4 linked regions of the Alligator mississippiensis genome follow. The protein of the gene in region 1 interacts with the protein of each later gene in a pairwise test. Links are inferred from orthologs where the notes say so. Each region holds a gene or a part of one and is shown in the gene's direction. Other genes may lie near its edges.

Evidence for each region.
Region 2: the proteins of NDEL1 (region 1) and MBIP interact in binary tests that used the Homo sapiens proteins (3 or more experiments, as listed by UniProt). The two-hybrid records come from large-scale screens. The link is inferred for Alligator mississippiensis from reciprocal best matches to the Homo sapiens genes NDEL1 and MBIP.
Region 3: the proteins of NDEL1 (region 1) and MLLT10 interact in a two-hybrid assay, tested with the Homo sapiens proteins (2 studies listed by BioGRID and IntAct). The link is inferred for Alligator mississippiensis from reciprocal best matches to the Homo sapiens genes NDEL1 and MLLT10.
Region 4: the proteins of NDEL1 (region 1) and CCSER2 interact in binary tests that used the Homo sapiens proteins (3 or more experiments, as listed by UniProt). The link is inferred for Alligator mississippiensis from reciprocal best matches to the Homo sapiens genes NDEL1 and CCSER2.

What each region holds. Positions count from the first base shown.
Region 1 is NC_081831.1:21,681,398-21,689,570, reverse strand, and holds the start of NDEL1 (nuclear distribution protein nudE-like 1), read left to right. Parts: upstream 1-5,098; 5' UTR 5,099-5,235; intron 5,236-8,173. UniProt on the Homo sapiens protein: Required for organization of the cellular microtubule array and microtubule anchoring at the centrosome. May regulate microtubule organization at least in part by targeting the microtubule severing protein KATNA1 to the centrosome.
Region 2 is NC_081825.1:257,639,682-257,647,186, reverse strand, and holds the start of MBIP (MAP3K12-binding inhibitory protein 1), read left to right. Parts: upstream 1-4,486; 5' UTR 4,487-4,528; coding exon 4,529-4,654; intron 4,655-7,505. UniProt on the Homo sapiens protein: Inhibits the MAP3K12 activity to induce the activation of the JNK/SAPK pathway. Component of the ATAC complex, a complex with histone acetyltransferase activity on histones H3 and H4.
Region 3 is NC_081828.1:185,212,819-185,220,137, forward strand, and holds the start of MLLT10 (protein AF-10), read left to right. Parts: upstream 1-4,310; 5' UTR 4,311-4,702; intron 4,703-7,319. UniProt on the Homo sapiens protein: Probably involved in transcriptional regulation. In vitro or as fusion protein with KMT2A/MLL1 has transactivation activity. Binds to cruciform DNA.
Region 4 is NC_081829.1:45,685,138-45,692,364, reverse strand, and holds the start of CCSER2 (serine-rich coiled-coil domain-containing protein 2), read left to right. Parts: upstream 1-4,039; 5' UTR 4,040-4,182; intron 4,183-7,227. UniProt on the Homo sapiens protein: Microtubule-binding protein which might play a role in microtubule bundling.

The sequences.
Region 1 (8,173 bases):
GTAAAAACATCAATTAGTTAACCCATTTAACATCTGAGCAAGGCAAAAAAAAATGCATTTCAGTAGAGCTGTGGCTCTATTGAAGTCAATAGAATTATGCCAATTTGCATCAGTTAAGGATATGATCTGACCCACCAGTTTTACTCTGCTGTTTTATTTTACAAAAGCTTCTCTTACAGTGGTTCTCAATCTCTTTAGACTCAAGGCACCCTTTAGAAAATGGCAGCTCTTAAGTGTTTTGACTACAGAAAAATAATGGAACAGTTCTTCTGTTGCAAAGAAGTCTGCAAGACCATACATAAGAATGTTTTTGATAGGGGTGCACTGATAGAGATTTTTGGGGGTTAGCTGATACTGATCCAATTTCTGATACAGCTGCTGGTAAGTCTGTTGTGGTGGACGGGGAGGGGGGAGGGCAGATCAATAGCCCCTGTGGTGAGAGAGGGAGTGGGGCAGGGGCTGGGACAGGTGCTGCCTAGCCAGGGCAGGGAGCAGGACAGGGCCGTGGCTTGTCTGGGGGGCACGGAACAGCTCCTGCTGTTGTGCACACCCTGGGAGGGCATGGGGGGCATGCCCTGGATCTGTGCAGGGGGGGCTGCAGTTGTGGGCTGGGGCACCAGTTGCAGAGCCAGGGGAGCATGGGGGCCCATGGCTCCTTCCCCCCCAGGCAGACCTGGAAGCGGACCAGAAGTACTTCCGGTCCACTTCTGGATTTGCTGCCATGCATGTGGAGGGCCAGCCCGCACTCCTGTGGGACGCTCCATCCACCCCAGCATCGCAGCATTCACAAGCAGTGCTGGCACCTCAAGGTATGTAGAAAAAACTTTTAAAGCTGTGTCTATGGCTGAATCGCTGATTCTCTGAATCAGCATCGAATCTTCAGATTCAGATTCAACAGAATCAAATTGGGACAGTGATCTGAATCAATGAATCGAATCACTGTCCCTGATTTGGATCAAATCCGAATCAATTAGGGCCTGCTTTGCACACCCCTGTTAGTTTTGCTAGTAAAGGACATCCAAGATGCACAATGTGCCTTTCACAACATTTCAAGTGAGACAGTAGACAGGATGTGATTGTGAGGCAGCTATCAGCTGCTTTGCTTCCTGTCTTTAAATCACATTTCCTGTCTTTTGCTTCCATTTACATAAAGCAGCTGAATCTTGAACTCTCAGAAAAACCGCTGAGTTGAATTAATGCTGGAAAATGGTTATTTTTTCATTACATTTACTGAGCAATCAATCAGCTGCTATCATGTGTTAGCAATCACACCACCCTATTTTGGCCCCACCATCATATCTCTGTGCAACCCAACTACTGTCCTTTGCAGTTCTATACTCAGGCAGCCCATGCTCCTCTACTGTACCTGAAGTACTTTACCAAGAGAGAGAGCTCTTTGGTGCTTACTTTTGCTTCCACAGCAAGGATGGGTATCTCCTCCACTCTGCAGCATAATAATGCAGCAGGGAAAATGTTACTAAAAAGGGTCAGAACAGAAGGAAACCCCAGACAAGAATACAAAAGCTGAGGGGATACAGAACAAATATGGGGATCCAGATGCGGCTTAGACCAACTATGAGAACATAACAGAGTACTGGGGAGGAGGATGAAAGCCTAACTTCAGAAGGGGTAAGAGTCATAATTGCAGTGCTGGATTAAGAATTTTTAGGATTTTGGATCCAAAGAGCACGGCACCCAGAGATGACTGTCCTGACCACCACACATATTTTCCAATATTAACTATGTAACCAAATATGAAAAAGGCATACAAATAAGAAAGTGCTACATTTATCATATTTCAAATGACCTTTAAAAAAAATGTAGGCTGAAAAGCTCTTGTATGATGTTACTAAAGTCCAGTTGTCATACCAGTTGTGGTTCATTTACTCTAGGATATAAAGCATTTAGTTATCTCTGTTGCATTCTTGATTTAAGCTCATTTTTTATCCTAGCCATGTTCAAGAATGTATGCTTTCTTTCAGTTTGTGATAGGCAGTGTCAGAAAAATCTCCAGGGTGATGTCCACATTAGGGAATACTGATTGAAGGCCTCTCTGTCTTAGGTCTTCTAGCAGCTTGGCTGGAGATTCATTATGAAAACTTTCAAAGTTCAAGTTTTGCGGGTAAAGTGCAGCAAATGCAGCAGTACACTTGTGAATGCCAGGGATGTACACACCAACTGCTGAAACTTCCTTAGTCTGACAAAGGGTTTTTGAACCCGAAAGCTTGCTTAATAACTATTCTCCAACCATTTGGGTTGGTCTAATAAAAGATATCAAATCCACCCAAGGAACCTTGTCTGCCTATGTCCTTAGACCAACACGGCTAAAACCTACACCCCTGCAGGGATGTGCAATGGGCTGAGTTCAAACAGAACTCCAAAACTGTCAGTCAGCATCTTATAAGCATCATTATTACTGTGAAGACTAGTAGATTGTTAATTAAAAGACTGAATGTTTCCAAACAAAAACATGTTGTCTTCCTTGCAGTAAGGTCTCAGGCTGTCCTGATTTATCTTCACATTCTTTACTCTTTTACAGCACAACTCACTTTGATATTTTTGGGAGATGGCTTTGCATATGTTCATAGCAGTGTTTTCAAAACTGTCAAATTCTTCTTTTGGGGCAGCCACAAAATGATTGTACTGGCCACAGCAGGTGAGCTCCTGTACTAAGATAGCTATGTGTTCTTTGTAACTGTATGCTGGTCACTTTAAATTGCTGAAGCACTATGTCCCAAAATTGGAGAAGTCAGATCACAGCCTGGCTCTGCAACACTTCAACACATACCCCATTCATTACCATCTTCTTTGGTATAGGGTGACCACTTTTTCAAAATGGAAAGGCGGGAGGGACACATGCCTGCCTCTTCCTCAGACCCCACACCTCTGGAAGCAGTACAGCTGGAGCAGAGCGTGCAGCCTACATCTGCCCTTGCCCCATGCACAAACCTGGAGGTGAGGGGGGGCACTCCCTGGGAGTGTGCAGCAGCAGAGAGCTAGCCACCCTGGTTGAGCTACCTGTGGCTCTGTCTTGCTCCATGCCTCAGCCTCGGGCACTGCCCCAGCTGGGCAGTGCTCCCAACCCCTGCCCCATTCCTTCCCTCATTGCGGGGGCCTCGGTCTCTTATCCTCTACCTCCCTCTTATCCCCCCCCCCCCCCCCCATAGTGATACCTGCAGAGAGCTGCTCTCTGCACTGCTTGGTTGTATTCCTGGCCATGTGTATGTGTGCAGGCACACACATGTGTACATCCAACTCCCAGCAGCCTACTTTCCGCAGTTTTCCTTGGTGAATGGAAATCCCGGATCCCTGCACGACACTGTGAATCCAGGACAAATGCTGTCCCAGAGTCAAGTAGCCCAGGATCAGGACTTGATGTTCCCATTCTGAGACTGTCCTGCCCAATTAAGGATGGGTGGTCACCCTACTTTGGTATCATGGCCAGCTTCCTTGTTCAGTAAATACCCTGCTGGTTGCAGCTGTGTGCAAGTGTTTGCCGAGTACACTGCTCCTCCACCTGTGTGTAGTCACTGCATTATCTGTAAAGAACCTAGTACTGCTTTGCTATCTCAAGAGCAAACAGTGAGCTAAGACCAGATCACTCTGGAGCAACAGTTAGAGGAGGCTGTGCCCTGGTTCTAGTCCTTCTGGCGTTGAGCACTTGGTTTTCCTCGTCTCTGGCCATGAGCCCATTCTTCAGCTATGGACATTGCTAGTGTCTGCAAGCCCTACTAATTGTAGGGTGAGGGTTAGTGAACTTCTGCATGCCTCAAAAAACACTCCAGTACCCAGTCCGCTACCTTGCTGCTAAAAGTGGCAGCAGTCCGACTTACAGGGTTTGAATTACACTTTGACCCTTGGGAGGGAGGAGGGACTGCAAAAATAATTGGGCTGCCCCTCACAATACCCTAATGAAATTGGAACTCCTCCAGGTTATGTTTTCAAAACTTACAGGGGGGGATCATCTCTTATGTGGGGGCTAAGCCCCCCTGAAATTCAAACCCTGCCTACCGAGTTTTCACCAAACCCTGACCCATCAAAGATGCAGAGACCTAGCACGTTAACTACCTCCTACTTCTCTAACGTGGTCCTGGGTATGACCGTGAACTGCATCCGACTAGAGGGTTTGATAGCAATATGGTGGGACAGCTCCTACCAAATACCACAGTGTTGCAACATCCAGAGTAAGGTGAGTATAGGGCGCCTCAAAACCCTGGCCCTTGCTCCTGGGTTGGAGTCAGGCTATGGGACATCACCTGACAAAATGCACCCTCGCTGAGGGCCGAGGCAGTCGGTGGCTCTAACCCGTTTCCCTCTGGCAGCAGCTACGGCCATTGAGACACTGATTGTCTGGACGCAGCCTGGCCTTCAGACTCCGTCTCAATGGTCTGAAGGGGGATGGCTGGTCTGGGGCAGCCCCACCCTCTTGCCCAGGTGGACACATTGGAGGTCTCAGTGAGGGCTGCAGGACTTTTTTTTTTTTAAAGAAATTTTTCTAAGACAAATCAAGTCCAAATCCATGAGTCAGTCCAGAACTATAAGTGTCCCTACAACCGGCCGACATCCTCCATCCCCACCGGGGGCTTCAGATATTTCCAGTCTCTTGGCAGGTGTCCTACGTGCAGGCCCAAGCCCGGAGCCTGGATGCCCCCGGGTTCCGCCTGCCCTCAGCCACACGGCTGCAGGAGCAAGCTAGGGAGGAGCCACCCATTTCCATAAAGAGGGCTTTAACCCCAACCCCTCGGCGGGTCCTGAGCAGTGCTCCCGGGAGCGCCTCTGGCAGACGGCCGCCCCGGACCCAGACGCGCGCAGGGGCTGGCTCGCTCCCCCCGCCCCACGCCACAAGGAACCCGAGGCAGCGCCAAGGCGCCTGCGCAGCCCTTCTCGGGGCGGGGCTGCCTGCCTTTCCGGAGGGTGCCCTAGGAGAGAGCCAAGACAGCCTCGTCCCAACCCGACCCCTCCTGCCCGAAGTGACTCGTACAGCAGCTGCGGCGAAGGAGCCGGGCAGCCGGCGGGCCTAGGCGTGCAGCGAGCAGCAGCACAACGACCCGCTGCCAAGGCGAGGGCTCCGCCCCATGGCTCCTCCCGCCTGGCCCGGCCCCGTCCCTGTGACGTCACGGCGGAGGCCCCGCCCCGCGGCTTGTCGTCACGGCGCGGCCCCGCCCTCCGCAGTCCCCGGATGAGGCAGGGCTCGGAGCCGGGAGCGGTCGGGGCGATGGTGCTGTTGTGACAGAGGTGAGCGGCGGCTGGCTGGGACAGCTGTGGGTGGCGGCGCCCGAGCGCGGGGGGCGGCGGCCAAGGGGGCACCGGCGGGGGTCGGGGCGGGGGTCGGGGCGGAGGGGCTGGGGGGGGCGCGGGGCCCGCTCCTTAGCCCGCTGCGGATTGGATGTGAAGTGACAACGGGGCAGGGCCCGCCTCCTCTGCTCATTGGCGGGGAGCGGAGCCTGCGCGGGCGCGGATTGGGCGAGGCGCTGTCAGTCCCCGGTGCCCGGGTCGGCCCCGCCCTTTCTGCTTTCCCGGCGGGGCTGTGCTCCCCCCGGGGGAGGGGGGGGCGCCCCGCCGGGGCCTCCCCGCCTCGTGCCCTGCGTTGCCCCGCCACCGTCCCCGAGACCCGCAGCGCGCCCCGGGCCCGCCGCCCCTCTAGACAGGGGGCAGAGAAGGAGGCCTTCGGTGCCTCGGGTCGTAGCTTCTGCCAGAGAGCGACGGGGCTGTACCCAGGTAGCGAGGTTGCCTGGTAAAAAGACAGGCCCAGACCCTGCGTTGGGCTGGGCACCCGGAAAATCAGCTCTGTCCTTCGGACCTGAAACCCTGGGGGTGATATAGGACGCTGGCCTTTGCAGTCTCGTCACATGTGTTTGACTCACAGCCGGCGTGGTGCTGCCGTGGCAGGCGCACGGGCGCAGACAGGCTGTGGTCAAGCATCCAGGCAACAGTGGGCAAGCCCCGTCCTCGTGCTGCTCCACCGCGACTGACTGATGCAATAATGAACGTAACTCATCCTTTTCACATAGCACAGCAGTTAAAAAAAACCCAAACTCTATCCAGTGTGACTAGACTTTTCTAGCATGTTTGACATTTATGGCTGGTGAAGTGTTTCTGAGTCATGGCATTGCTTTTCCTTTTCTTTCCTCTTTTAAACTTGAGTTTATGAAACGTGTTGCTGGGTTTGCCATGGAATCTGTCTGTCCTTAATCTTCTGTGTTTAGGGAAAGGGAGGGGCCTGCAAAATGTTTGCTGTCAGATGGTTGCTAGGATACATAAATATATTCATGATGTCAAATGCATTTTCAGCAAATTATTAAAAATAATATTTTTGTTCCATCAGAGGAAAGAGCAGATTTAGGAGTTTAGCACACGCATCAAAAGAGTATTTACTAAAAGGGTATACGATGGTTCTGTTAGTGTCATAAATGTAGATCTTACAAATGAACTCATAGTCCTTGCTGCAGAGATTTTAAAGGAGAAGGTATAACAGATCCATTAGGGAGAGATCAGTCAGCACTTTGAAATTCTTTTGATAAACCATCTTCAGTCTTCTCCCCACCTACTCACATTGCTGTGTTCCAGCCACATCCTTTGAAGCAGGACTATTGCAGCCTGTCTGTTGACAAAGTTTCTTAATCAGGAGTTGCTACTATGTTGCTATTACAGTTTCTGCCCTTTCCTTCATGTCTTTGAAGCAGACTGTTTTCTTCGTTGCACATTGATATCTGCTCCCTGAGTGAGACATCTTTAATTGGATTGACACTTATAAAAGGGAAGTTTACATTATTGGCTATCAGCTTTTTTTGGCTGTTGTAGCCAATAATGTTCTTTGATAATTATGCCTCTGGATGCCTGGGTTTCCTTCTCTGGATACACCCATATCCCCTCACTGGTGGGCTGGGCTGGGCTGGGCTGGAGTGGAGCAGCTACTGCAGTGTCCTGGGTGCTGGTATGGTGCGGTGTGGACTGTGGGCTGGGGCCAGGACAGGTGCTGTAAAAGGTGCCGAATGCTGCAGATATGACTGGGACAGGGAGGGACGGGTAGAGTTGAGCTGCCTGGTCCAGCATGACCCAGTCCACATTTAGTATCTGTTATTGGATTGGTATTGGCTGATATGGCTGGTTAATAATTGGCTATCCAGTATTGGCCAAGAAAATCTTTATCGGTGCACCCCTAGTTTTAAATGCATTGAAATATCTCCGAGCAGAATGTTTTATATATTATAGGATTAATTTCCTACAGCTGTAATTGCAGGGTTTTGTTTTTTTTTTTGGATCTTTTAATTCAACGCAATCTAATGGTCACAAACTGTTAAGAACTTGATCTTGTTTAATAAAAATACAGAATTCACATTTTGTAAGTGTGACGTTTACAGGCTTGACATCTATGAAATGTTTGCTCTTAATGGTTTAGTTTACATTAGTATTGAAAACTATGGGATGGTCCAGCTTGTCTAAAATGAAAGTTTTATCTATCTAATCAAGTTTATCTGACAGTAAATGGAGTGTGAGCATCTTGAGAAAAAGATTGTGATTTTAAGCAGGAAATCATAGAAGTCGGGTCGGAAGGGACCTTGTAGATCTTCAGGTCCGACCCCCTGCCTGGGCAGGAGGAAAACTGGGCTCAGTTGACCCCAGTCAGGTAGGCATCAAGCCGCTTCTTAAAGACCCCCAGGGTAGGAGCCAGCACCACTTCCCTTGGAAGTTGGCTCCAGATCCTAGCTGCCCTAACTGTGAAGTAGTTCTTACGGATGTCTAACCTAAACCTACTCTCCAACAACTTGTGGCCGTTATTCCTTGTTATCCCGGGGGGCACTAGGGGAAACAAGGTCTCCCCCAAACCCTTCTGGTCCCCCCTAGTGAGTTTATAAATGGTCACCAGGCCCCACTTCAACCTTCTCTTGTGAAGGCTGAACAGGTTCAGGTCCTGTAGCCTCTCATTGTAGGGTCTGCCCTGCTGTCCCCGGATCATGCGGGTGGCCCTCCTTTGGACCTTCTCAATGTTGTCCACATCCCTCTTGAAGTGGGGTGCCCAGAACTGGACACAGTACTCCAGCTGCGGCCTGACCAGTGTCGCGTAGAGGGGGAGGATCACCTCCTTGGACCTACTTGAGATGCACCTGTGGATGCACGATAAGGTCCGGTTAGCCCTGCTGACCGTGACCTCGCATTGTCGGCCCATGTTCAT
Region 2 (7,505 bases), on another chromosome or scaffold:
TCATTCCATCCAGAAAGAGCACACACCAACTGCTGAAACTTCTTTAGCCTGACGAAGGGTTTTTGAACCCGAAAGCTTGCTTAATAACTTTTCTCCAACTATTTGGGTTGCTCTAATAAAAGATATCTAATTCACCCAAGAAATCTTGTCTGCCTATGTCCTTAGACCAACACATCTACAACCTAAACCCCTGCAAACTATTTCATTTGTGTTTTATACCCTGCACTGGCTACCAGGTCACTTCCACATGAGTTTCAAAGTGCTGTAGGGTTTGTCCTTTTTTCCTTTTTAATCTAAAGATATATATTTTTGGTAGAATACTTAAATTGTGCAAAGAGATTTAGCTGTCTGTCCCAAAGGAGATGCTGTAAGAATCAGAAAAAAGTCTGTTTCAGTAGCTAATTTTTGGTTCTAGATTTCAATCCAGCCAGTAGAGAGAGATCAAATAAGTGTTTTGAGACGGATATTACACTTGATCTGAGCCTTCAAGAGGCCCACACACACACACACACACACACACACACACAATCTCTGTTTTTTATTCTGAATTTGCATTTTTAGTTCTTTCTTCTAAGACACTTTTCATGAAGATGCACTTTTTAAATACAAAATGGAGATTGTCCTTTGCACTTATAGCTCACAGATCAGGAAGACCTATAAAAACAGGCTTTTCATCTCCCAAAAGTTTGCCCTGCCTCTTAGAAATCCAAGTGATCCCAAGTATAGCCCATTTCAGACCTTCATGAAAAACACAGCTTTTTGTTCTGTTTGCAAATGGTGGGCATTATAAGCTCCCTGTATTTTTTTTTCTGTGAAGATGGCCAGTGTTTATTCATTTCAGTTGCTTTGGGTATTTTGCTTATTTGCACAGGGAAACATTAAGTACAGCCTATTTCCTCAGAAGTGTTTACACTAAGTTAAGCCATGTAAAGGTTTGTCCAGTGAGAGAAGCTTTAGAAATACTTGCATTAATATCAGTAATAGACAGTAAAGACAGTACTAAAACTCATTTAATTTGGTTTCCTACTACCTTTATTAAAACATCTCAAGCTGGTTTACAATTTTTTTTTATTAGCTTTACAATTTCCTTGTGAGGTAGAAAAAGATTATCACAGGCAATGCTCATTTTCAGCAACACCTGGTAAGAGCAGCAACTCCTTACTAGCAACATTTCCCCTGACATTCCCTTAAACAACACCAGTCAGCTAGAAGCAAGTAGCACCAGGCCACTGACATACTGCTTTTAACAGGCATCAGTGGTATCCTCATGTTGCATATAATGAAACTGAAGCCTCATCTTCACTACTAAAATGTATCTTTTTACCTCTGGGTAAAAACATGCATGAAATATCCCAATGGAAGAACACAATGAAAAAAAGCACTTGTACTGTGAGGTAAACTCACCTAGGTCAACCCTACGCCACCATCTCTGTGAGTTCATTTCTTGGAAAATCTGTCTTCATTGTATTAGTTATCCTGGAGTAAAAACACAGCTATTCTTGCAGCAAAGGCAAACTCTGAAGCTTCAAGACTCTCAACAATGTTACCTAGGAAACCTGTGTAAGGGCTTTCATTAGGGAAGTGATTCTTCCATTCTATTTGGCTTTGGTAAGGCTGCACCTCATGTACCATGTCCAGTTTGGGAACCCACACTTTTAAGAAAGTTGTGAACAGATTGGAAAGAGTCCAGTAGAGGGCAACAAAAATTATTAGGGGCTTAGAAAGCATGACATGAAGAAAGGCTGAAAGATCTATGGTTATTTAATCTGGAGAAGAGAAGACAGAGGGGTGGGTTGTTAACAGCCTGAAGGCCAGTTACAGGGTGGATGGAGACAGACTATTCTCTGTGGCCATAAGGGACAGGGCTAGGAACAATGACCTCAAGAGCAGCAGAGGAATTTTAGATTGGATATTAGAAGGAATTTTTTGCTAAATAGAGTAGTTCTGGAATCTCCATCAGTGGCAATTTTCAAAAGTAGGCTGGAGAGACACTTGGCTGGGATGGTTTAGTCAGGCATGATCCTGCCTTGAGCAGGGGTCTGGATTAGATGACTTCACAAGGTCTTATCCAGTCCAGTCCTACAACCCTATGAACCCAGGTTACCTGATGCCCAGTAACTCAGGTCATTGAAAGCCATGGTTGACAAGGTTGGGTTGGAGGTAGGCCAGTGCTTCCAACATGGCCCTTGCTGCTAAATGCAGTGCAAGCAAAGCCCCAGTGTTGCCACTTCTTCCTGCTGTACAGTTGTAATACAGTGTGGGCAACCCCCATCACCCAACTGTGGTGTGGGCAAAGACCCCTTCCACCTCAACTATGCAGTCTAGACACAAGTCTCCACAGGGCAGATCTACATGTTGCTAACCTTTGGTGGTGAGAACTACAGAAGCCATTTCATCAGCAGCAAATGCGGATGGGGACAAGATGATAGCCACCCAGGTTACACATCTTCCACAAGGCCCCTTCAGACCCAGATACTCTGATTCTAGAAGCAGTTCAGTCTGAATCACGTTTGGCATGCGAGAGAAGTGGGTTGTGAGGGATTTTCAAGGGAGTTGAGATTCATAGGCCGTTGATCACACCCAATGCTAATAAGGGGACCCTAGGAAAAAACAATGGTCATAGACCATGACTCAGTTTCCCTGCTCCCTAGTGAATTAGCCAAGAGATCCTTATTTCATAGGAATGGGCAGGAATACACAAATCTGAACCTAAACTGTATAACCCCACCACACACAAAGGCTGAGGGGTGGAAGTCTGAAATGTGTGTCAAACCCTGAGGACAAATTCTGAGGGTCCTGAGACCTTGCCACTGGTAGTGAGTATGTTTGTTTATTCTCTGCTGTATGGGGTTGTTCTTGTTAATACTGCCTGATTGATAACATCCCAAGAAACCAGTGTATGGCTTGAAGAACTTGCTTTGGCTTCTCTTGCACTTCTCTGGATAAAATCCCCCAGAGACATCCTGGATGCAACAGGGAATGAAAATGAGGCTGTAATAGAACGAGCCCTTGTCCTTATGGTGTAAGCCTATTTATTTACCCAGCATGTCAAAATAACAAGGTTCTTGAACTCAAGTTGCTGTGTTCTTACAAGTGGCAGGGCTAGGGTGGAGACAGGGACAGGAGTCACACTGCTCTACAGTACAGCCTAGGTGGACCCAAGGCACCAGGCAGATCCTACCATGACAGAATGACTCTCAAATCCAGAGGCACATAAAGACCATGGAGAACAAGCCATTGCACAGGAAAGCCAGCAATTCGGCTACATACAAAAAGCTCAAGGCAGATTCAATCTGTTGTGCAATTTTCTGTAAGTCTCATGACTTTTGAGGAGAGGCTGAGGGAGAAGAGAAGACTGAAAGGTGATTAAATAGCAGCCTTCAACTACCTGAAGGGGGGTTAGAAAGAGGGTGGTGGCAGATGACAGAACAAGGAGCAATGGTCTCAAGTTGCAGCAAGGGAAGTTTAGGTTGGACATTAGGAAGAATTTTCTCACCAGGAGGGTAGTAAAATGCTGGAACAAGTTACCCAGAGAGGTGGTGGAACCTCCATCCTTGGAGGTTTTCAATACCTGGCTAGACAAAGCCTTGGCCGGGATGATCTAGTTAGGGACGGTCCTGCTTTGAGCAGGGGGGTGGTTAGATGACCTCTTGGTCACCTAGTCCAACCCTCGTTTTCTACGATTCTAGAGATCGGCAGTGAACAGCACACACAATTGCCCGTGGGGGTGATGCGCAAATCCTACACTGGGTTCTGCCATTTTTAAATCAGTCTGTGCATGCTGAACTGTTCTGTTACAGGTACTGGCCGGTTTTCAAACACTTATATCTATACCAGGCCTTTGGGGTGCCAAAAGGCCAGGCACCAAGGGGGAAGACTGGCTGCCCCCAGGGGGCCCTTGCCCACCCCTTGGCATCAGCAGAGAACACGAAAGCCTGCAAGAGCCATGCTGTGGAGACCACGACCGACCGACCCGGGTCACCTGCGGGCTAATGAGAGCGGATGATTTGTGTTAGCACCGTTGGAGGTGGGGGGGTGGGGAAGGGGCTGTGGGGGCCTCATGATACAGAGGCCAGGGCCGGGAAGAGCTACCCTCGCGGGGGCGCTGCCACAGGAACAAGCAAGAGGCGGGCCCCTCTCAGGGCCTCGGGGCACGGCAAGCCCCATGCTCCCCGGCGGGCGCCCAAGGCGCTGCAGCTCCGCTGGGTGGGGGCGGGACAGGATAGGGCAGGGCCCTCGCCAGGCCACAGCCTCCTGTCACTGCCGCTCTCGCGCCGCAGCCCCGGCGAGGCAAGGGGAGGACCAGCCTCAGCAGTTTTTAACCCTTTCGGGGTCAGCGCTGCGAACGCCAAAGCGGAGACGCTCCCGGAGCCGCAAGACCCGCCTCGCAGCGGCGGGAACCACGGATTGGCTGCGGAGCCTGCCCGTCAGGCTGGTGGGCGGGGTGGCGGTCCGGGCTCGCGTGACCCGTCATCGCCGCGCGCCGGCAGCGGGAGGCGGGGCCCGGCCCTGGCCTTAGCCTGCTGTTATGGCGGCCGTGGTGGAGCTCAGTGACTGTCCTGCCTATGCCTGCGACTCGGAGGTTGGCGCCGGCCCGACGGCTGGGGAGGCGTTGAGCGGTGCCCTGCGCTCCCTGGCCGAGTTGGCGGGGCAGGTCTGTGCGGGGCCGGGCCGGGCAAGTCTCGCTGGCTGCGCACCCTCCCCCTTCTCGCAGCGCCCGGCGGGGCCAGGGGGCGCTCCCCGCTGGGGTTCCCCGGGCTCGGGTCGCCGCTTCGCGCCTCCCCGGGGCGGGGCGGGGCCCTTCCGGGGTCGGTCACTTGGTTGTCTGGTCGTGGGCGCCCTGACTATGGGCCGGCGCCCGCCCCTTCCTCGGGCTCATGCCGCCCGCGAGCGTGTTCGTGGGGGCCCCGCGAAGCTCCCTTAAGGCAGCGCTTCTCATCCTTTTCTGTGTCAGGGCCCATTTGTAAACATCGGTGGCCAGTCCTGACCCGTTGCCCCCAGGCTCCAGCCCCCCCCCAGTGTGTGGAGCAGAGGCAGAGCAACTCCTCGCAGGCTGGAGCTCTGCCAGCCTGCGAGGGGAAAGCCATGGTTTCCCACGTTTTTCTCCTTTGAAGGAGAATCCTTTTTTAAAGTTTGTTCCTGACCCTTTTTCTATATTCTTGTGACCCACTTTTGGGTCACAACCCATGGGTTGAAAAATGGTGCTTTAAGGGACTGGGGGAGCCCTGGTCAGGATGTTGTGGCTCCTGGAGAGGCAGGCTCGCTCGGTGCTCCTGGTGCCTTGCAGCCTGAGCTTCCCCAGTTCTTGTTTGTGAATTTTGCAGGGTCCCAGGATTGTAAGCAATGACTTAAGAGTGAGTGGAAAGAATGGGAAACGTGTGCAGCTTGGTGGCTGTTTTCTGTAGAACTCAGTAGCCTCAGATATAAGTTTGCTCAGTTGTCTGCTGGTCTAACTCGCTGCAGTCTGACAATACCTTTTTTTTTTTGTTTTTGGTAGTTGCACAGGCCGTACTGGTCAAGTGAAGCAGGTATGACAGCTGCTTCATATCGCTCAGGCCCGTAAACATCTTGGCTCTCCAATACTGAGGGACTGCAGCATTAAGGACCTGAAAATCTAAAGATTAAAGCCCACATTCTTTCAGTTTTCCTATCTATAAAATGAATAAGAACACTTGCCTACCTTTCCAACTGGAATTTTGTGAAGATTAGTTAGCATTTTGCTATTAGACATGCCTCCCAACATCTGTACTAATTCTTTGTTAATTAAAGGAACTGAGTGGAGTGAAGAATTCCTCTTTTCTGGCCATCACAATGTGTCTCCTATTCTGAAATCACTTTTTTCTTCTTGTACTATACAGTGCAACCAAAATATCAAATCTTTAAACTTATGTGAAAAACAAAAGATCAGCCACATTCCTAAAGATGACACAATCTGTCCACCGGCTTAAAAGAGAGATCCCAACTATGCAGTTAGTCTAGTAAAAGATGTAATCAGAAATCCCTTGCTTTTTGTCTATTTTCTGGATCACCATGGCTACAGCCACAGTCTAAATTAGCTGCAAGGCTATTAACCGTTTTAAAAACAGTAGTTTCTATTACTGCTTTTAGTGTTTCACAAGTTATTCAAAGCCTGGCCATGTTGGTGCTGCATCTAGGTTCAGAATCCTAGTGTTTTCACTATGGAGAAGTGAGTGAGGGGGCTTAACAGAATTTAGCCACAGCAATTTTATTTCACAACAAGGTGGTTCTAGTCTAAAACACAGTCTACTGTTGGGACACATAGGGATATCTTTTGTGATGGAGTGGCTTACTCGTACTGTAAACTGCTGCAAAATAGACCATCAGCCAATGAAAGTGTAGCAGCTGCAATAACTAGTATCAAACACAAACATTATAGTCCACTTATCACACTATACAAAGACATTGTGTAAGGCTAGCACACTAGTATATACAAAAGTGTGGATTAATAGGGTTTAGCTTTGCTATAGGGATTATTCTTTACTTGTAATTTGAAAGCTGCTTGAATAAGCATGCCTCTTTAGCTTTTTAAACTGCTAATCTCCAAGTTATTCCCATTCAGAAACCTTGCTAAATTTTCATATGTTGAAATATCTATATAGAAGCCCGAATGAAATGTATAGTTGTTACTTTATTCTCAGCAAAAAAGATTCTCTGGGGAACTTTGAGGGAAGCATGTTTTTAATCTGTTAAATGCAAATCTCTGCCTCCACTGACAGGATAACAAAAATCATGAGTAGTTTTCAAAACACTGTGTCCTTTTTGTGGAGTGGGGGAGATAGAACAGCTCAGGCTGTGTGCACATGTAGGTATGTGATTGGTAATGCTGGCTTAGAGAAATAAGTAAAACTTCATTTTCTTGAGTAAATGAGGTATTCTAACATTAGCCTAGGGTCTAAAAACATGTTTTCCCCCCACTTGCTATCCAGGGTTTAGATTGAGCATTGAAAAGAGGAAAACCTCTTGCTTGAGAGAGATTTATGATATGTATTATATGAATGTGAACAAAAAGATTGAAAGTTTAGCCTATGTTATGTGTTTTTAGTAGTTTGGTAAATAGAAAAAAGTTGTATAAACTTGCTATTTAGGTCACTAGTTTTTCTGCCTTCATAAGAATTGCTAACCCCATCTGCTTTCCTGCAGATTGACTTGGGGCCTGATTTTAAACTTAATCCAGCCGTTCTCCCTGCATAAAGAATGGAGGATCAGGCTCCTTTCCAGATAGGAGTAGTATTAAGACAGTTCCAGTGCTTACCCAGTCATTTTAGTATTTTAATTGCTTTGCCTCCAAACTACTGCTAGCAGTCCTGTATATTTACTTTATTTACATTTGAATCTCTTTCTGTATAGTGTGCTTTTAGATTTTTTTCTTGCATATTTTAACCTTCAAATGTCTGCCCCCTTTAAAAAATATATTTTGAAGTCATCAAGAAGTAAATACATACCCATAATATTTGGTGCCATTAGACCAGTGTTTCCCAACCTTT
Region 3 (7,319 bases), on another chromosome or scaffold:
TCTAACTCGGAAGGCTGAGATTTGAAAAGTCAGCCCTAGACTACTGTTGCTCTCAGCACAGATGTAATCGCCGCTCTTCAACTTAATCCATGTGTGTACAAACCACGATGTCTAGTTCTTCCCTTTGAAATCTAAGGATAGTATTCCCATCCAAGAAATCAGAGCTAGAGCAAATTACATTTTGTCCCTTGAATTAGAAAAGGATCATTGAATGGATCTCGTGATATTTCAGCCTTTAAACGTAACCGAGAGGCAGCAGTGAACAATGCCTCGTCACAGCTAATACCATCCACAGAGTTAGCCTTCTTTTGCTCTGCATCTGGATCTATCAGCGTACATTTTTCTTTCTCGCTCGCACAAGAGACATCATGTTATATTCTATAGCTGAAAGCAAAGTTTCGAGGGAAAACAGCTGCTGGTGTTAAAAAGAAATCATCGTAGTCTTCCTAGAGCTAGAGACAATAAGGTCGTTTAAAAATTCCTCCTGATGCACTTATATGCTGCTGGCACCCCCACCCCCTCCCCGCGGCTCTCCTCCCCCTGCTTTAAGGTTAAGGCTATGGAGTCAAACAGTAAAGAAACCGTAAACTCCGAGAAAGCTTTTAAGAAGACATTACAGAAAAAAAGGTGGGCTCACAAGTCATTACTTTGCCAGGTAGTTCGGTTGTCCTCGACTCATGTTTAAATCCAAACACTCTCTTTTACTCCAGATGATAGTCTGGCAATGGGATCCAGGAACTATTTAAAAAATGCATGCTTTTTGTTTGTTTAATACAGGCGCTATCAAATGTTTTAAACTTAGTAGCGGCTTTTTGCCAAACCTATCTTTTCAGAAAGGTACAGCCATGAGCTTCTGGGGTTAGCCAGAGCCAAATGTTGATAGAGGAAAAAAAAGCTAGAAGTCTTTAGGAAATGTTATACATATATACACACATGTACACAATATCGTTACACACACACACACACAAAATGTACACAATATACTCACACACACTCACACACACACAGTTTCAGTTGCAGGGCTTTCTCCACATCACACACAGACGCTTTTGTTTCTTTAACTTCTCCATCATTTTGTTGTGCAAAATGAACCAGGCAGCTTTCATGGGGCCATCAGCACACGTTGTATATCCGGGGTCTTCTTCAGGCACATTGGGGGTAGATCCTGCTAGCGAGATGTGACGGAGGCCCCTGGCACACGCACGCACGCACACACCCATTAAAGGCAGGGGACTCTAAAATGGATTTCCACGCACACAAGGGATTGCGATCAATAGCTACCAACATTTATGGCTTAGATTATTAATGTGAAAGCAGGGCAAAAGAATGAAAATGAAAAATTAAAGGTGTCTGTTATCAATTACAGTAAAAGTTATGCAATAATTTACTTACTTGGTGTGTGTGTATGTGTGTGTGTGTGTGCGCGCGCGCGCGCGTGTGTAGATCCAGCTGTATATATTGCTATCTCTCAAAAGCAAGGTAGTGTCTGGCAATTTTGTTGACCGTGTCAGCCTCACTTAAAATCAACGATGAACACGATTAAAAAGATGGATGTTTGTCTCACATTTCTTTAGTACAGAACGTCTATAGTGCCCATTTTGCTAAACACATATACACACGCAACTATATATAGTTGCGTGTGTATACACACGCACACACACGGAGGCTATCAATCAAATGTGCTCCTTTTCACGATGAGTAGCGTGCAATCTGCAATCTACACCCTCTCGTAGGTAGTATTTAAGTTTGCCAACTGGCTGGCCGAAGAATAAACCTCTGTAGAAAATAATATGAATAATATGCTGCTGTGGACCTATTCCTACTTACAACAGATTCCATACTTTGATGTTTGTAAACTCGTGTTAAAAGATCCAGGTTTGCAGTAAACGTGTAACTATATCGCTTCACAAAAAGAAGACGTATATATAACGTTTAAAATCCTTTTTGATGTGTTCTGATTTATTTTCATTTTATGATGATGTTTAAATACCACTGCGATTCAGCCTGACCTCTTCCTTCTGGAGCTAAGTAATGCACACACCATTTACAGTCTTTTAAACGTTTAGTTGGGAAATGCAACAGCAATATCCAGCAGCAGTTGGACTAATGGAAAGACTTCTTTTGAAAACCTTCAGGAAAACCTACGGGGTCATGTGCATTTTCACACTAGGATTGCCACATTATTAGAGTATTATTATTTATTATTATTTGTTAAGTGCCAGACTGTATCTTCAGGTATTGACAAGCATTAAATAAACCTTTTCCTTTCATGAGCCATGATGTAGAAATATATAATTTAAATGAGAAGTATATTTTCTAACCTTAGCACTGTTTTAGATATCACTATGCATATTTTCTTCAAAGAGGCTACAGACAGAAAACAGTGCGAGGCTATCACAAAGAGTCCAGTAAAGTAAATATAATAGGGTCAAAGAACACTATAATAGGGTCCTTCTGCTATTTTAAAGCCGGCCCAGTGTGACTGTAGTGCTTAAAACTTGTTGTAAATTCTAAGTTAGCAAAAATAAGAAGGTATAACTAAATTAGTCAAATATGTGGAAGATAAATCCCAGCTGACAGTCCAAAAATCATAGCATAATTTATCTAGCATCATCACGCCTGTGAGTTATTTCTTTGTAAACAAAGCAAGGAGGTATTGTTGCACGTTTTTAAGTTTTATTTTCTACATGGCTGTACTACTTATGCACCAGAACGTTGTACGGTGCATAAAAAGCACAAAATAACAGTCTTACTTGATGTTGATAGTCTTGGCTGTTTTAAAATACAGGTTTTTAACAGGAGTTTTTGGACACATACTGCATGCCATGTTGTCTACTGACCCATAATCAAAATGCACTGACCTTCTACCCTTTTTTTGCCCCTTGACCCATCCTGAATTCAATGCAGCCTTTATAAATTTGCAAATCCTTGGACGTAAAGGGGATTTGGTGAGGCTTTGTTCTGGAAGGATCCTAAAAGTTTGCGTTTTTTAATTAGACAAAGGTAAGGCAACAAACAGAGGGGAATAAGATTATTTCTTACACGCAGGTGCTCTGTATTCATTTTTATATTCAAGGACTGTATCCTGGAAAAACAGATTCTGCAAGCTGAAAAGCAATTGCAAACATAGGAGATCAGAAGGTTATGGATTGCACCAAATTAGCAATGTGGTACAAATCACTTTCATGACGTAAGGGATGGCCAGGCCACAATCTTCCGGCGTTCCTCATCTCCAAGGACTGTGTGGATCCTGGTGACCCAGGGAGAGGAGAGAGCGAGCGAGCGATTTGATCTGAAGCCACAGGCACATTCCCTTATCTCTTCTGCTATCAGTCAGTTTAAAGGACACCATAATTATGATGGTGATAAAACAATGCCCGCTTATGTGTGCTGAATAAATAAAGAATGTTTACAGCTCCAGAATGTTTCAATTCCAATTAAACGCTATCAAAGAAAAGCCACTCCCCCGCCCCTATTTACCTTGTTTATTGTCATATTTTCTTATGAAATAGAAGAGCCTTCCGGAATGGTATTAAGGTTAAGTTGGGGGGGGGGGGCGGTTAGATAACACATACTCCCAGTTCCCCAATTACTTGGATCACCTACATGTTGTATTTGTTTATTTTTAATGGCTACATGCCTGGAGATGCAATGGTAAAAGGCGCGAAAGTACCCAACTCCAACCACAGCCTGGAGGAGTTGGGCTGAATTAATGCAGCGCCCTTGGGCGTTAGAGAAAGGGGTCTGTGATCTTATGGTTCCGACTTCCTGACCAGAACCCAGCCAAGCCTCTGAAAGGGCCCAGAGGAACTTAGTCTCCAATTAGCTCCTGTTTCCCTTGCATCTTGGATCCTTGGAAACAGGAGCCTGAAAATTTATCCCAGTTACTAAGACACAAGGATCATTTCAAATATTCATCGTATCAGCAAATCTGGTCATAATCAAATTAAAGCAAGGTTTGGGGGAGTACTGCCTGTATGGCTGGGTACTAGACCCAGAGAGGACTACAAAGAAATAAGAAAAAAGGGGTGCTTTTAAGTGGCTTAGAAGCATATTGCAAAACGCAAAACAATATTTCTGCCATGGAAGAGACACTTTGTAAACCCACGATTCTGTGTGATACTGCAGAGACCCCCTCCCCCCCCCCCCCAGCTGCCATGGTAATTTCAACTTTATATCCAATATTTCTGCACGATGCCCTTGTTTATTTTTTAAAGCCCAAGATATTACAGGCTGTGGTATATCGTGATGTAGACTGTGCCTTTACACCAAATTGTCTCTTAGCACTTTTTGCCTAAAGGAACACCACCGCTAAATTTAAACTTAAAAAAATTTAAATATCCCAGGAGAAATGCTGATTTCTGTTTACTCGAACCAGAATGTAGTGGCAAAGGCGACTGTATTTGCAGAGTTGCTGCAGAGTTGTAGGCCCTTTTCCTTTTGAAAGTTTAGACCTCCAATACCCTCGATTCTACTGGCAGAATTAGGATGGACTTGGAGGGTCCTAAACGTGACCATTCACTAAGGCGGGGGGCTACAGCTTGCAACAACGTGCTCGGCAACTTAATCTTACACTAAAAAGGGCAGAGAGCGAAAAAGAATGGAATACAAACTCTCCCGACATTTGTAGTCGCTTCCAAGGTGGATTGTGTATTTTAAAGCTGATGGGAACGTCTGGTTTTTGGAGCAAAAAGGAGAGAAGGTAAGTGTTTGTGCTTGTATCCGTCAGTTCGTAGAGAAACAATGAAAGAACAAAGGGAACCACTTCTCCATTTGGACATTTTACATTTTCTTCCTCCATTTGCAGCTGATTGTGCAGGGCTGGGGCTGGACTCGCTTAACTTTGCCTCTAGGAGCTGGGTGGCAGGGCTTGGGTTTAAGAAATAATGAGAAAGTTACTGAGCAATTTAAATAAAAACATGTTTACTGGGAGGGAGAGTCCCAGCAGCCGCGCTGCTCCAGAAGTTGTTCATCATTTCAGGGGGAGCCAAAACTCCCCACGTAGCCCTCCCTCCCTCCCCTCCCCTCCCCGAGAGAAGTGGAGCGGAGCTCGCGGCAGTCTGGATCGGACCTTTCCCTAGAATTTCAGGGATCCCCAAAGCCAGGACTATTGTTTCCGGCGCTCAAAAAAAATTAGTAAAGACTGAATGAAAACGCGTCCCCAGTAATGAGCTCCGGCGTTCACCCGCAAGGAGGGAAGAAAGGAAGCAGGGGCGCAAAAATAAACATTCGCGCAATTATTTGCAAATCAAATAAATTGCAGCGAGGTGGGGGTGGGGGTGTGTGTGGAGGAGGGGGGGTGAGAGGGCAAACAAACAGCCCTCTCTGAAAAAAACACGTTTCCCCGGTCCGGGGGGCTGCGAGCCCCGGGGCCGGGCAGCAGCACAAAGAGCTGCCACGTTGGGTGGGGCCGCGCTGGAGACAAGCCCCGTTCCCCCCAGCCCGAGGCAGCCCCGCACCCTGCAGTCCCTCTCGTGGGGAGGGAGACGCATGCTTGGTGTTTATCTTCCTCCCGGGGATGCGGGAAGCCGCCCCCACCCCGCTCGTTGCCAGGCAAATGCAAGGCTTTGTCGGTGGGTGTTGCCCCGCACGGCCGGGCCAGGAGCCCCCCGCATGGGCGCCCGCAGAACAATGTGCGGCCGCCGCTTCCCCTCACGTGGGCACCCAGCGCGGGGCTCCCGGCTGCTGACCTTTCACCCTCTCCCCTCTCCTCCCCTCCCCTCCTCCCGCTGCTTCCTTTTGCCGCCCGGGCACTTTCTTACCCACAATTCCCCGCGCCGGCCGCGCTCGTGCCGAGCTCGAGCCTCCCGCTACCCCCTCCCCTCCGGCTCGGGGCCCCTTGTAGCGCCCGGGCCAGCGGGCACCCAGGAAGTGGCAGCCGGCCCCGACACCGGGCAGGCTCCCGGGAGGGTGTGCGCTGGGGGTGGGATCTCCTCCTGGCCCCGCAGGGCTGGGGGCCTGAGCCGGCGCGGAGGAGCTGGGCGTGCACACGTGGGCTTGGCAGCGTGTGAAGCATCGTGGCCCCGAGCCGTGCGGAGCGGAGCAGAGCAGACGTGTTGGAGCGCGTGTGATGGCATCTGGGGGGGGGCTCGGGGCAGCCCCCGCGGGCGGGACCCGGCTCCGCGCCCCTCCCCGGAGCCCCTCAGACTCGGGCAAGACGGGGCTGCAGGGTCCGGGCCGCGGGGGCGGGGAGCGCAGCCAGAGCCCCCAGGCGCTTGTGCTGTAGGAAACAATGCGGGAGAAAAACAAGTTTCAGCGCAAAAAAAAGGGGGTCCAGATGACTTTTAAAACAGGACGGAGCCGGTCGCCGCACCTGGAGAGCCCATGTTGCTAAGTACTAGATTTAAATAACAAGTGGAGGGAGAGACTTTTTGACCCTTCCAGACTATAGCAGAAGAGGAGTTGAGGCCAGAGAGAGGGGCGTTGCTCAAATCAATTGAGAGGCATTATAGACTTACAGATATGTGTTTGGGCAAGGCAGGAGAGGATTTGCCTGTTGAATATTCTTGGCAAACGTTAATCTCTCGTGTGTTTTAAAAGTACCGTGTCAGGGGCTTTTAAGGAAATCGGTGAAAAATCAAATGTGGCATTAATCAAAACACCCAAATGTAAACATGTACGAGTTAAACCCTAACGTTATGCAATTATTTAAATCGAGTCCCGGTTTTCCTGACTGCGACCCCTCACCCCTCTGCGAGTAGCTTTGAGATCCCCCCCCCCCCCCACAAAATCCTCACGTCTTACTTTTCAATCGGTTCATATTTTTGGCCTGCCAGCTATGAACAGGGCTTTGGTGGTAGAAGCAGGTTTTCAGGGACAAAAATATGCGGCAAGGTGAAAAGGCTTCAAAATACAGTGATTTCTAACCCTAGCCTTTAATTAAAAAAAAAATTAAAAGCTCGTCTGTTTTGCTACATTTCAATAATCAGCTGCTTGAGTAGTAAGCGCTGCTTTGGGTCCCGTTTTTCGGGTTTTGTGGTAAATGCTTGATCTACATACAAATTTGAAGCGAGGAAGAGGCTGATTAAAAATATAATTACAAGTCAGTGAGCCCCTCCCCCCCCCAAAATCCACCGGGCATGGAAAAAAGCCGAGCTGGAGTGAAGGGTGTTGATTAATAAGCAGAAATCCTGGGAAAAAACAGTCGTTGCAGGTTTCACAGAAATAACACTTGGTTGCAGGCCAGGCTGCGGATGCAGCACCTAGTGGTCCGAGCTGCGGGGGGGGGGGAGGGCCCCGGCCTGCAGCGAGGAGGGGCGGTGGAGCGGCCCCAGCGCCGGGATCCCCTGGGTCTGGGCGGCTGCGGCGAGGGGAGAGCG
Region 4 (7,227 bases), on another chromosome or scaffold:
CACCCACACTGCTGCTTTTTTTTTTTTTACAGATTTTTATACCGTCAGTTTAGCTGTTTCGAAGCATTCTCAACAGTGTAAATCATTGTCTTTTCTATTGACAAGGGGTTATCTGGTTTGGAACATCTCAAGAAACTGATTGATAATCAGGAAACACATGAGGTTAGGGAGTAAGCAGATACTTGGGAGCCAGCTTGAAATTCCTACGGATAGCAGATATACTGATGGGATATCTCATGGTTTCTTCAGAAACAATAGATAGCTTGCAGCATCAGGATTTTTGATTTTTACTTGTTGTGAACAAGCCTCAACTTAGCATGACTTTTCTAGATCTTACTATGGTCTTTTAACAGACTTAAGACAATTATTGGGGTGTTTATAACCTTTGGGCAGGAGGACTCCCACCAGTCATCCCGGGAAAAGTATGACAACACCTATGGTTAGGGCTCCAATGGGCTGGACGCTGCGATGAACCCCTTTACCATTGTTCAAATGTTGCCCATACCCCCTCTGACTCGGTCTCTTGCCTCAGCATTCCCTAACCTGGCAACTGAGTTTTAGTCAATCAAGTTTAAATAGGCCTCCCATAGTGGGACCGGGGAATGTACGGCCCGAGATGCCTATTAAACTTAGAGATGTATGTATGTCTGGGGGGGAAAGTCCTTTGTAAATCCACATTAGAACTGGTCTGATAAATGCTGAGCTGGGTGTGTGTGAACATGGGTTGATTAGCATTTGGAACACAGATTCCCCATCATACAGTGCTCCCCTGCTTCTCTGATCCCAGAATTCACTGCAGTCTCTGCTTCAGACTTTCTGTTTTCCATCTCTCATGTAAATGAATGGTCATCTGGTTCCATCTCAGATGCAAATGGGACCTAGGGCAGTTGTTTTACTCTTGTCACCCTTATCTGGAGGGTCTTAGGTGTGTGTCTCACTGCATCTTAATCAGTTTTGTTTGTGTAGAAGAGGGGAGGAGGGGTGAGTCCTTTGTGAGTCAGACAGGCTGTGTCATGTGCCAGGGTTGCCCAAGAACACAGAGCTGAGACGTAACAACACACAATGGCAGTAGGGGTTAAAGAGTCTTGATGCAGGGGCTGAAGTCCAGGAGGAGAGAGAGAGTCCAAGTTGTAGGAGGAAGTGTGAGGGTCATATCTAACTATCCCAGGCTGAAGGTTGGTCCTCAATGGCCAGTCGGGGTCTCCTTCAGCTTGGTGTTGTCCAGTTGCCGCCAGGACCTCTAGGGTGGATAGGCGGCATGATGTGGACTGGTCCGGATGGAAAATGGTGTTCCCACTGGGTCTATCTTCACTGCCCCCTTTTATAGGGGAAGACCTTCCATAACCCCAGTGGCAGGGGGCCTGCCCAGGCTAGGGCCAGCCCCTGGTGGACTGAGCATGTGCATTCTAGGTCAGGACATGCAGTTTCAGGTGTCTGTAATGGTGGCTTGGGTGGGATCTGCAGCAGTCTTTGTCTTTCAAATCTTGAGCCAGGGAGGGTCAATGCAGAGTGATGCTTGCATTGTGGAGTTGATGGTTCAGTCATTCATCTATTTTTAGACCTATTGCCATTATCTCTCAAGCACCCGTATTATCCCCATTCATCCAGGCACTGATTTACATAGGAGGGGTAGGTATGAGTCATAGGTTACAACATCAGGGGACACAAGACGGAGGCTTGACATTAGAAGATGGAAACTTGACATTACTTGACGTTACTTTACAGACACAGGCCTAAACCATACAGTATTAACAAAGAGACACTTAAGACACAATAACCATACAGTATAATACATTATAGTAATCCAACACACACAGTAAAGCACTATTACAATAGCTCATGGTTACTATAAAAGGGGACTTATGTACACAGGGTTTCAACTTAACTTATAACTACTCATGTGTATATATATATATATATATATATAAATATATATATATGTACACAAACACACACACACACACCCCTATAGGGAATAGAGGAGGGGAGAGAAAAAGGCAGAAATGATGGGGAAAAGGGGTGTCATATTTTTAAGTAAATAAAGAAAAAGAAAAAACCTGGGGGTTTTGTTACAATCCAAAATTCAATAGTAGGTACTGTCACCCTGTGGCCACTAAATTGACTGAAATTGATAAAACCACCAACAGCAGAACAACAAAGCTTTGGTCAGAGTTTAGAATTGGCTGCTCTAAGAACCTTTTTCAATTATTACCAGGCATCCCAATGACTTTGCATTCTGAATTAGTGATCAAACTCTTAAGAACAGGGTTAAATCAACCGTGCCCTTCTCTTTGGTAATCAGATAGGGTGATGACTTCTGGAGATAGTGAGGAGGTTTGGAACAGTAAAGGTTCTTAAAGAAGTAGGAAAAAAAAACCAACCACTAATTGAAACATTTACAAAAAACTCCATCACACTAAGACATATGGCAATTTCTGATGCAGGGCAGGAATGAAGAGATGAAGTTGGTACTGTGACCTTTGAAAAAGCATTGCAGGTGACTAGGTGTGACTTAGCCAGTACATAGGCCACCATACAGGATACTGAATGGAGAGTGAGCATTATATACCAAGAGGAAAAGCTGTCTGCAGAAATTTCAGAATAGGTATGTAAGAGGATGCTATCTCTCTCCTGACACCGTCTTACAGCTCTTTTTAAGTAGAAGCATTGCTCCATCCTATGAAGTCCCACTGACTTAAAGGACAGAAACTTGACAAGATTCTAGGTGTTGATACATGAGCAAAAATCCTAGTTTTGGAGAGGATACTATGGATGTTTTAGTGGTAGCAGTTAAGGTATATTACTGACTAAGCAGGGGAACATATAGAGTAAGTCCTAATGCTCAGTGGTTGAAAGTGACTCAGAGGATTATTATTTTGTGGTCAAATTGGTGGTGCAGAACTCAGGAAATTTGGGTTCATTTTCTGTTTTAATCTCTCTGATGTTGCACAAAGACTTTCAGGAAGTTATGACAATGACTTTGAATCATCTACATTTACTAATGCTTCAAGGGTTTGTGTCCCCACACCCAGCACTCCATGTGGACAGTAGTGGCTCTAGGGGAGGGAAAACTGGGTGACTGCCTGGGGCCCGCATTTTATACAGATAAAAATGAATTACATTAATTTGTTGTATTTTGCAATATTTATTGTAATATTGTAATTAATACTTGTATTATCAATATTGTTTTAAGATACTTTTATTGCAATTGCATGGACAGGGCAAAGTGAAATTGAAAATGTCTGACTTGCTTATAGGGCCATCAAACATGAGTCTCTAAGGGGCCCCAAATAACTCTTGTCCAGGGCCCCAACAACCCTAAGGTCACCACTGATGAGGCCTTGGGTCAGACTCCAAAGGATGCTTTGCAGCAGGCCAAGAAATTATAGGTATTTCCAGTGCCTGGACTGCACCTGAAAGCAGCTTTGATACCCTTGAGCAATGCCCCCAACTTCTAGGGAGGGACTGGCGCAAATGATGCTTTATCGGAGGACTTTCCCCTGCTTATACACGGGCATTGCTTGGCAATTCTGTACGGCCTTTTTTCCTGTGGAGAAAAAGGACCACAGACGAAAAGCAAGATGCTGTTGCATTCAGTGCTTCAACCCCACAGAGCAAAACAGAGACTTTGCCAAAAACAAGGCAAAGCAAATGCTGAGGTGTGGCAGGAGCTAAATCCCTCTAGCTCGGAGGGACGGGTGTTCAAAAAGAAGCTGCCCGGCGCTGCGGCACAGCACTAAGATTAAAAAAAAGTGCGGGAGGTTATGAACAAGCGGAGGCTGTTGGAGATCCCGCAGGGTCCCTTTGTGAGCTGAAAATGGCCAGGGCCTGGGGCCAGCTGGAGAAGGATGAGGCGACAGCAGCAGGTTTGGCACGAGTAGGGGGAGACCTAGGCTGGGGCTGGCAGAGACTGCGCTAGGTGGGCCCAGGCAGACGCGGAAAAGCCGTTGCAACCTCGCACACAGAGCGGCGCCCGGGCACGTCCTAGCCCCCACCCTGCCGGCCTCGCGCGGCCCCAGCGCCTGCGCAGTCACACGGCGTGACGTCAGTGTCAGCTGGGCGCGCCGGAGGTAGCCGAGTTCCGGGGTGTGCGCGGAGGAGGCCAACGGCAACGGCAACCACAACCCGCTTGGGACATTGGTCGCTGCGGGGCGTGGAGCCGGGACCCTCCACCTCTCCCCGGTGAGTGCAGCGCGGAGCGGCCGGGCTGCGGCGGCGGGGAGGGGGGGATCCTGGAGCCGCCCGGCCCGAGTGGTGTGCAGTGATGCCTGTGGGGCGTGCTGCTGCTCGCCACAGCCCTCGCTGCGGTCCACAGGTGCGGGTCACCCCGGCGCTGTCTGCTGCCCCGCGCTTCCCTCCCCTCGGCCGCCGGGAGGACATCGGCATCCCCTGCCCCGGGAGTTGTCTCATGCCGTTTAAACCTGGCTTATCCCTTGTGCCACCCGAGCTGCTGGGAAGGCCCTGGGCATGACTAGGGCGGCGCGGGGGAGCCGCCCCTGGCCAGGATAGTGCTGCAGGATCGGGGCTGGCTGCTAGGCCTGAAGGAAAGGCCCCAGTAGAGCTGCCGGGCTTGTTATCCCTCCTGGTTCCTGGCAGCAAAAGAGGGCTCCCCCCCCCCCCCCCCACTCTTTAACCAGACTTCCCTCCCCCAGCACCTGCTGGACGTTTGCGTTCTGGCAAACATACCTCCATGGGCTTGGGCTATGAAGCTTGGGCACCTGCCACCCTTCATATCACCTCTGGGGAGGTTGTGCTGTCTGTCTTCAGTGAAGGATACCAGGTTGAATGGGAGCCGGATGATCTATTGGAACCCAAGGCTCCAGTCTAGACAAATTGTGAAGGTGAGGGGGGGGGAGAACTCTGGACCATGTGTAGATATGGGAACCCCCAGCGCTTAGAAGAGCTCAGCTTTGCAGAAGTGACATAACTGCTTGTTAGCGCAGATCCTCCTACCATGGGAAAAGAACTGATGACATCTGACTTGGTAGTTAAAATGAATCAGGGGAAAGACCCCCCCCCCAAACAAACAAACAAAACAAACCCAACAAAAACAACAACCCAGGAGTGGACAAGGAGAAGTTTATGAAGCTGCTCTTTGTGGAAAAGGGAGATGAACTCTAATCACATATTTAACAAGTTCAGTTGCAATTAGCTTATTTCCAGGAGGATCCGCCTTTACGAAACAAAACTAAGTGCAATGGCTAGTTCACCAGAGCTGCATTTTGGGACTGAAGGATATTATTTAAAAAAAAATACTTCATCAATACTTCACCAGTACTTCATTATCCTCATAGTGAGAAAATTATCCCTAATATCCAATTTAAACTTCTCACTGCAACTTGAGACCATTGCTCCTTGCTCTATCATCTGCCCCCACTAAGAACACTCTAGCTCCATCCTCTTTAAAACCACCCTTCAGGACTTGAAGACTGCTATCAAATCCCCCCTTAGTCTTCTCTTCTGCAGACTAAATAAACTCAGTTCCCTCAGCCTCCCCTCAGAAATCGTGTGCCCCAGCCCCCTAACCATTTTTATTACCCTCCACTGGACTCTCTCCAATTCGTCCACGTCCTTTCTGTGGTGGGGACCCCAAACTGGACACAGTACTCCAGGACTGTGGCTTCACCAGTGCTGAATAGAGGGGAAGAATCACTTCCCTTAATCTGCTGGCAAAGTTCCTACTAATGTAGCCTAGCATGTTAGCTTTCATTGCAACAAGGACACATTTGGTGTGTATGCATGCATTTAAGGTATCTTACAGTGAGGTTTCTTACTCTCATGAGTAGGGATCCTGGTTTTCTCTGATTAAAAAAAAAAAAAAATCACTCCCCCCTCCCCTTCCACCACACCTGACTTATCACCTAGAGGCAGGCTGATATGTCTCCTTAAATATCGGCTATCGATATTGTCCCCCCAAAATCTCTGTCAGTGCACCCCTACCATTTACTTTATTTTTCCTCCCCTAAACCCATAGTCAGAAAACTTTTATCAATAATTCTGAAGTGTGATCAACAGGGCCGTCCACTTAATAAGACTGGCTTCTAAGTTAGGATATCGAGAGGTGATTTTTTGAGGAAAGCATATTAAGCAAATCAAAATTATTTATGGTGTTTTGAACTATTAGACTACAGAATTCTTTTTCTTAATAAAAAGATTATTATAGACAGCTCTAAGCATCTGAACACAAGATTCACATGACAATGAAGTCCCAGCAAAATTAAAACCTTCACTCAAGAAAAGGAGTTTAGCTAATTGGACTGTACCCCAGTGCTTTCCAAAAGTCCTATCAGATCACTGTCTCTTGCATACTGTCCAGAAGTTCACCAAAAATTAGGCTAGTTTGGACAAGGGGAAAAACAAGTTCCAGTATCCTGAGCCCCTCCTGCCAGATGAGAGGGTCTCTTGAGGCATTCAGCTTGGCCACTTTGTAGCTGTGCTATTTCAGCATGGGAGGAGAGGCAATCCTGTAGTCAGGCTGGTCTTAGACCATTTGCAGCTCTGCAGTCATTTTTCCTGTAATGTGACTGAGCAACAGTTGGGCATCCAGAATAACTTCTTATTTTCAAATTTTATTAACTAATGGTGGATTTATTCCTTCAGTTAAAGGAACTGATTCTTTTTGCTTCTGTCCCTGCTGTTATCACTTCAGACAGCTTGCTCAGATTGGGCATGTACAAGAACTAGGCTCTAACTGAGGTGCTATGGTCAGTGTCATCCATATACTGAATATGCCTTTTCCAGGTCTCCTCACTAACCATACTAATGGTTCTACATACACTCTTGAATGGATAATTTAGAAATAAATGTGTTATAGACTTTCTTATGAACAAATAAATATCTGCAAATGTGCTTCCACAAAAGAACTTCCATATTTATTTGAAACAATAAATAGTTTTTCTGCTGTTTAAAACCACAGCAAAGTGAACAACTTATATTTTAGATGTCACTGAAGTAACAGGTTTGGCTGCTTTTATAATAGTGCTTCTATCGGTGTTAAATGTCTAATGTACGCAAGGCTGAAAAGAAGAGATACCCCCCTCCCCCCCTTCATAAAATTTGGTGGCTGGCAAATCTGCCTTTAAATTATGAAAAGGATCTTAAAGTGGTCATGTGAAAGCACATTTTGAGTATAAAGGAACTTGAAACATTTGTTAAACAAAGCAAAGTAGTATCTACTTGCTAAATGAAAGAAAATCTTTTTTTTTAAATCTGTTTAGCAAGCTGATG